Linked DNA regions of Xenopus tropicalis. The protein of the gene in region 2 purifies or fractionates together with the protein of the main gene of each other region. This does not show direct contact. Links are inferred from orthologs where the notes say so. Each region holds a gene or a part of one and is shown on either strand. Other genes may lie near its edges. The genes, in order: dcc and casp9.

What was found.
Region 1: the proteins of casp9 (region 2) and dcc purify together in Homo sapiens (co-immunoprecipitation; 3 studies listed by BioGRID and IntAct, with this or other methods). This does not show direct contact. The link is inferred for Xenopus tropicalis from reciprocal best matches to the Homo sapiens genes CASP9 and DCC.

What each region holds. Positions count from the first base shown.
Region 1 is NC_030677.2:204,366,026-204,370,596, forward strand, and holds the start of dcc (netrin receptor DCC), read right to left. Parts: upstream 2,988-4,571; 5' UTR 2,492-2,987; coding exon 2,401-2,491; intron 1-2,400. UniProt on the Homo sapiens protein: Receptor for netrin required for axon guidance. Mediates axon attraction of neuronal growth cones in the developing nervous system upon ligand binding. Its association with UNC5 proteins may trigger signaling for axon repulsion.
Region 2 is NC_030683.2:129,462,531-129,465,639, reverse strand, and holds part of casp9 (caspase-9), read right to left. Parts: intron 1,161-3,109; coding exon 1,071-1,160; intron 935-1,070; coding exon 787-934; intron 646-786; coding exon 466-645; intron 1-465. UniProt on the Homo sapiens protein: Involved in the activation cascade of caspases responsible for apoptosis execution. Binding of caspase-9 to Apaf-1 leads to activation of the protease which then cleaves and activates effector caspases caspase-3 (CASP3) or caspase-7 (CASP7).

The DNA.
Region 1 (4,571 bases), on a different chromosome or scaffold from region 2:
CAGGCAGTAAGGCGGAAAGGGCTCAGCCGCTGCTTTCTATGTTTGAAGACGGGGGTGTCAATCACGGGCTGCACTGCATTATGGGGGCTCCCAACTTCACGGTGACTGACAGGTCTGCTTCTCCGGGGAGCCGGCCGTCGGCCTATACAGCCAGTCAGTGGCCTTCTCTAATGGCTAAATCATTCAAATTAAACCAGCCTTGGGGGCCGCTGCCCCCCTTTCCATCAAGGCCGACCTGCCCCTTATAACGCTGCTAACGTGGTCATAAAATCAATTCACCATACCACGTTGCATTTTTTTTAATAATAAACACATGGAAATGCTACAGCAAGCACAGTAGTATTGATTTCGGGGCAAATGAACTGAGGGGAACCCAAGCACCAAGGCAACCTGTCTTTCCCGAGGGGCCACGTGTGCAACGTTGGTCTATATCGGAATTACCCCATTCATGGGGAGGGATTTCAATATCCCTATAATTCAGGCAAATGTATCCAATGTTGGGTTTATTTGCACCAAATGCCAATATCAATAATACATCATGGGTATGTATATAAGTAAGAAACCCCTTGCACTAGGGATCCCCACTACAAAATATATAAACTCATATACCACTCAATATTAGCCTAACGCGTTTCATGCTTACCCAGCACTTAATCATAGGCTCCAACCTCAAGTCCTACAACTCCCATCATCCACCCTCAAGCAAGTATTTACATTTCAACAATAGCAAGAAAATGGGCGTACCTTACTTAAACCCCCTATATTAATTGGGCTATTGAGTCTCGTTGGCACTGAGATTTCATTACATCTCTATTCAGATGTATGTTAGTAATACTCTCGTACCCTGTAGGAGGGGTAAAACATGTTTTCATCCAACCCACCCCCCACGCCCAGACGTGTTTCCCACTGTACCCCAGGTATAAGACCGTATTCATAAAGTAATAACAATTTTCATTAATATCATTGGGTCATACATGTTACCCCAATGGAGTGTGTGTCTTGGCGATCAAGTGAAGAATAAACCACTATTTTAATGATGAATAATAATAAATATTTTCTAATAATATTTCTATATTATATTTTCTATAACAAACAGAACCATTTACAAAGAAAAACTCAAAAAAGGCTGAATTGATTGGCAAAGCGGTGCCAATTGGCTCCCCAATGCTAAGGAAGTTTGAGTAAAAGAGCCGCAATTGCACCCCGGCCCCTTTAGTGGGCACCTCCTGCTGGTGTCTTCCTTTCACTACTATCACTTCTCCCTCCCCCCTGGCTCTCTGGTTGGAAAGAAAGAAAATAGCTCACTAGAAGGAGGGCTGGGAGTGTAAAGATTAATGAGAAGAGGCCAAGCAAAAGCTCCGGTGCCTTTACAGCTCCATTGCACATTTCCCAAGCCTGGATGCCAATGGTTGCTTCCGGTTCCCCCAACTTTTACATTTTATTTTTCTTTAATAATACAACTACATGTGTGTGCTGCCCGGCACCCTGGCATGAACTGCGCTGAGCAGTAGAATTCTACCAGAGCCGGTCGCTGTCCACTTCAGCACCATGTGAATGGACCCATCCATTGTATTGCCTCCTACAGCCCCAATGTGTGCACAACCCTTGCAGCTCAGTGTGCCATATACACAAATACAAGCAGTATATACTGTCACCTCAACCCCCAACCCTCAGTATCACAGAACTATAACCATCGTGCACTACACCTAGGTGCAACCAAGCTCTTGGTGACTTGCTACTTGACTTGATATTCCAGTCCCAAGCATTAGCACTGCGGAGCATGTTTGGGCAATAAAGACGTCCCTTATATGACACACACACACCCCATTGTCACATGTGAAATCACTAGCGAGCCCCCATTCATTCCACTAGTTTAATAGCATGAATTGGCACGCACAACTTTATGTAGTTGTGCCAGAACGCACCGTGCCCCATTATAAACCACGCTCCGCCGTATATAAATAGTCCTATTTGGCCCGAAGCCACCATTCTCTTCCAGATCTTGCAGGATAAGGAGAAGCTGTGAAATATACATCACTGGGGCTGGCGGAACGGTTTTACAAAACCAAAAATGTTTAAATTATTCACTTCTATCTTTAAAATATCACTTCGGCTCTAGGGACGAGGGTCTTAATAATTCATTATAAGATCTTGCTGCATTTTTTTTTCCCTTCTACTGCTTGTTAATATGTATGTGTGTGTATGTGTGTGTGTGGGTTTTTTTCCCCTTTAAAATACTGCAGCATGGATGTGAAGTAAAGAGGAGAAATGAAAGCTGCTATTCCTTCTCCAAACAAGCAAAGTGCAGAGAATCTCTATGAAATCGCTCCTCCGGGAGCCACACTGAGGGTCCTGGTTCCTAGGCTGGGGATGGAAGGGAATGCCGGAGATGTTACTTACCGGATACCGGGAGATTTAGGCTGAGCAGAGCGAATCCATGCAGGAGAAACACCAGCTTTGGTAGTGAATAAAATCCAAGACTATTCTCCATATTTCAGCAAACACCTCCCGATTTGTGTCCCAATTCCCAAGCACACTCATGCACACTCAACCCTGATTGCCTTAAATATTCCTGGTCCCTTGGCGGCTTCAGCAGGCAAAGTTAATGCTGGTCCAGTTCAGCATCAGCCCTGATGTACCCCCTTCCAAATAGCAAGTAAGTAGGGGCAAGCTTGTAGGGTGGGCTGAAGGTCCCAATGAAAACCATCCAAAGATAAAATCCTCCAGAATTAGATCCAGGTGCAGAAAATAAATCTGTAGAGGAGTCCCATGTCCCCAGTGCTGGATAAAAATAAAAATCAGCTTGGTAAAAAAAGGGGGTTATTAATAAAAAAAAAAAAGAAAAGCACAGGAGAGACTGATGCTTCCTCCTTCCCTGGCAGAGGAGAAAAAGACAGGGGCTTTAAAGAGCTCACTTGTTACTAGAGCAATCCACCAGCAGTGTATGTGAGCTAAGAATCAAATGTGTTCACCCATTGATCCACAGAAAGTGAAGAGGCTGGAGAGGAAAACAAGGAGCTGGGAAGCGCAGGAATGGGATGGAATGGGGATTGCGGAGGGGACAGCACTGGCTCCACTGGCTCTATACGGATTCTTTGTTCAGTCGCCAGTATGAAAGCATGAGCGGGGGCGCCCTCTGTCGGCGGCTGCTGGGAATGGCGGCAGCGCAGGGAGAAACGCTGGATCAGTGCGCGTCTTGCAGCTGCTACTGGGTCTTTACTGACAGCCCAAACAGGTTCCGAGCAGTTTAGATAATATGTATTATATATATATATATTATATGGAGGGAAAGGAGGAATGAGAGTTCTGCTGGCTGTCTGATCCTGCTCTCTCCTACAGGATACAATAGGCTGGGAGGGAAAACCAGAAATTCATTCATGTCATAAAAATGTCACAGAGTTACACTTTGTTTCATTCTGTGACTGGGGCATTAGCAGCATGGGGGGCTCACTGGGGCTCATTAACTACCCACAGACGCGCAAAGATGAACGCAGTTCAGTGCAAACTGACACTATTGGTTAGTATACAGGTATGGGACCCCTTATCCAGAATGCGAAGGACCGGAGAAGGGGTCATTCTGTAATTCGGATCTGCTACCTTAAGTCTGCTAAAAAAAAATATTTAAACAGTAATTAAACCCAAAAAGGCTGTTCTGCCCCCAATAAGGGGTAATTATATCTTAGTTGGGATCAAGTACAGGTACTGTTTTATTATTACAGAGAAAAGGGAATCATTTAACCATGAAATAAACCCAATAGGGCTGTTCTGCCCCCAATAAGGGGTAATTATATCTTAGTTGGGATCAAGTACAGGTACTGTTTTATTATTACAGAGAAAAGGGAATCATTTAACCATTAAATAAACCCAATAGGGCTGTTCTGCCCCCAATAAGGGGTAATTATATCTTAGTTGGGATCAAGTACAGGTACTGTTTTATTATTACAGAGAAAAGGGAATCATTTAACCATTAAATAAACCCAATAGGGCTGTTCTGCCCCAATAAGGGGTAATTATATCTTAGTTGGGATCAAGTACAGGTACTGTTTTATTATTACAGAGAAAAGGGAATCATTTAACCATGAAATAAACCCAATAGGGCTGTTCTGCCCCCAATAAGGGGTAATTATATCTTAGTTGGGATCAAGTACAACTACTGTTTTATTATTACAGAGAAAAGGGAATCATTTAACCATTAAATAAACCCAATAGGGCTGTTCTGCCCCCAATAAGGGGTAATTATATCTTAGTTGGGATCAAGTACAGGTACTGTTTTATTATTACAGAGAAAAGGGAATCATTTAACCATTAAATAAACCCAATAGGGCTGTTCTGCCCCAATAAGGGGTAATTATATCTTAGTTGGGATCAAGTACAGGTACTGTTTTATTATTAGAGAGAAAGGGAATCATTTAACCATGAAATAAACCCAATAGGGCTGTTCTGCCCCCAATAAGGGGTAATTATATCTTAGTTGGGATCAAGTACAGGTACTGTTTTATTATTACAGAGAAAAGGGAATCATTTAACCATGAAATAAACCCAATAGGGCTGTTCTGCCCCCAATAAGGGGT
Region 2 (3,109 bases):
AGTTTAAAGGGAAACTATACCCCAACAATGTAGGTCTCTATAAAAATGTATTGCAAAAAAAGCTTATAAGTAAAACCCTGCTTCATTCAAATAAACCAATTTCATAAAAATATACTTTTTTAGCAGTATGTGCCATTGGGTAATCCTAAATAGGAAACTGCCATTTTAAGTACTAAGGGCCGCCCCCTGGGATCATAGGAGTCACAGTGCACACAAACAAGCCAAGGCACACATACATGCTAGGCCCCATCAGCCAATGAATGGGCAGAGTTATGCCTTTTGCTCCCACACTACTTCCTGTTACAGTTAGAGCTGCATCACTTCCTGTCAGCTGATCTCTGAGGGAGCGCACAGCCCATCACTAAATGGCAGCTCAAGGGAAAGGATGTAAAAGGGCAATATTTACTGATATATATATTCCAGTTTGGGGGTATAGTTCTCCTTTAACAAAGACTGAGCATTTACCTGGGAAAGTGGAATAGGACACCAAGATATCACTGGGAGTGGGAATACTGGACACGGCATCCACTTCGTCGTTATCATCTTCCCCAGAAAAAACAGGGGTGGCATCAGACTGCAGGGAAGTTGAAGTGGGGCTTAGTGGGGGGGTCTCAGTAGTCACCGAACAGCCTTTGTCTTTCTGATCTGCAAGGAGAAAAGAGAAGAATTAAGACATTAGACCATCCCTGCCCTCGTTATTTTATCCCTAACATGAAAATATCACGTATAGTTTGGATAACAGGAAAAAAACATCATCAATTTGATTGGACAATGGCAGAAATTTACCTCCGCCGCAGGCTTGAATGAAGAAGATCTTGGGCTTTCCCCGCAGGCTGGGGCATTTAGAACCATTAAAGTAGCTCACGATTCTCTCTACAGGGATTCGAATCCCATCTGTTCCGTAAACTCCTCCTGGAAACTGAATGTGCCGGGTCTAGAGTGAAAACACACAGATTTATTGGCTGAAGGTTCTGGGTGGTGCAGTCAGGTTTATCTAAAGTTTCTCGGGGACACAATAATGCTAGGACTTCTGTGTGTGCCCAAGGTGCAACATCATCAATAAACCTCACCTCACAGCCATGTGACAGGATCACCACCAGGCAGCAGTCCCTCAGGCTGTGGTCTTGGGCAGCAAGTTCCTCCAGATGATCATGAATGGCCTGCAAGCAACAGAAACAAGGATTTTAAAGCAAGAATTCTGTATAGTCAAAGTGAAGGAGGCAGGGCCGCCATCAGGGGGGCACAGTTGTCCTGGGCCTGGACGATCCTTCGCTTTAAAGGGGGCCCGGGCGTGAAAGAGTTTTTAAACTCGGGCCCCCTTTAAAGAATTACGGGCTCTGTCTTTGGTGGCCAGTGGGATTTCGATTGGTTTTGCCCTGTGCGTACCTGGTACCTGTGACGTCAGAACGCACGGGGCGCAACCTTATAAAACAGTGGATGCAGCAGGGAGCCGATGGACACAGCAGGCGCAGGAAGCAGGCGGACGCTGGGGGGGAGCAGGGTGAGCTGCAGGAAGCAGAAGGAAGAGTGGGGGGGGGAGCTGGAGGATGTTAGGGGGGAGCTGGAGGATGCTAGGGGGGAGGCGCAGGAAGCAGGTGGACGCTGGGGGGGAGCAGGGTGAGCTGCAGGAAGCAGGAGGAAGAGTGGGGGGGGAGCTGGAGGATGTTAGGGGGAGCTGGAGGATGATGGGGAGGATGCTGGAGGATGCTAGCGGGGAGCTGGAGGATGCTGGGGAGGACACTGGAGGATGCTAGGGGGGAGCTGGAAGATGCTAGGGGGGAGCTGGAGGATGCTAGGGGGGAGCTGGAGGATGCTGGGGAGGACGCTGGAGGATGCTGGGGAGGACGATGGGGGGAGCTGGAGAATGTTGGGGGGGATGCTGAGGGGAGCTGGAGGATGCTAGCGGGGAGCTGGAGGATGCTGGGGAGGACCTGGAGGATGCTAGGGGGGAGCTGGAGGATGCTAGCGGGGAGCTGGAGGATGCTGGGGAGGACACTGGAGGATGCTAGGGAGGAGCTGGAAGATGCTAGGGGGGAGCTGGAGGATGCTAGGGGGGAGGCGCAGGAAGCAGGTGGACGCTGGGGGGGAGCAGGGTGAGCTGCAGGAAGCAGGAGGAAGAGTGGGGGGGGAGCTGGAGGATGTTAGGGGGAGCTGGAGGATGATGGGGAGGATGCTGGAGGATGCTAGGGGGAGCTGGAGGATGCTGGGGAGGACACTGGAGGATGCTAGGGGGGAGCTGGAAGATGCTAGGGGGGAGCTGGAGGATGCTAGGGGGGAGCTGGAGGATGCTAGGGGGGAGCTGGAGGATGCTAGCGGGGAGCTGGAGGATGCTGGGGAGGACGCTGGAGGATGCTAGGGGGGAGCTGGAGGATGCTGGGGAGGACGATGGGGGAGCTGGAGAATGTTGGGGGGGATGCTGAGGGGAGCTGGAGGATGCTAGCGGGGAGCTGGAGGATGCTGGGGAGGACACTGGAGGATGCTAGGGGGGAGCTGGAGGATGCTAGCGGGGAGCTGGAGGATGCTGGGGAGGACACTGGAGGATGCTAGGGGGGAGCTGGAGGATGCTAGGGGGGAGGCGCAGGAAGCAGGTGGACGCTGGGGGGAGCAGGGTGAGCTGCAGGAAGCAGGAGTAAGAGTGGGGGGGAGCTGGAGGATGTTAGGGGGAGCTGGAGGATGATGGGGAGGATGCTGGAGGATGCTAGGGGGGAGCTGGAGGATGCTAGCGGGGAGCTGGAGGATGCTGGGGAGGACACTGGAGGATGCTAGGGGGGAGCTGGAAGATGCTAGGGGGGAGCTGGAGGATGCTAGGGGGGAGCTGGAGGATGCTGGGGAGGACGCTGGAGGATGCTAGGGGGGAGCTGGAGGATGCTGGGGAGGACGATGGGGGGAGCTGGAGAATGTTGGGGGGATGCTGAGGGGAGCTGGAGGATGCTGGGGAGGATGCTGGAGGATGCTAGGGGGGAGCTGGAGGATGCTAGCGGGGAGCTGGAGGATGGTAGGGGGAGCTGGAGGATGCTAGGGGGGAGCTGGAGGATGCTGGGGAGGATACTGGAGGATGTAGGGGGAGCACGATGCAGCGAGGAGTGGGTCATAGTATGAGGACACTGGG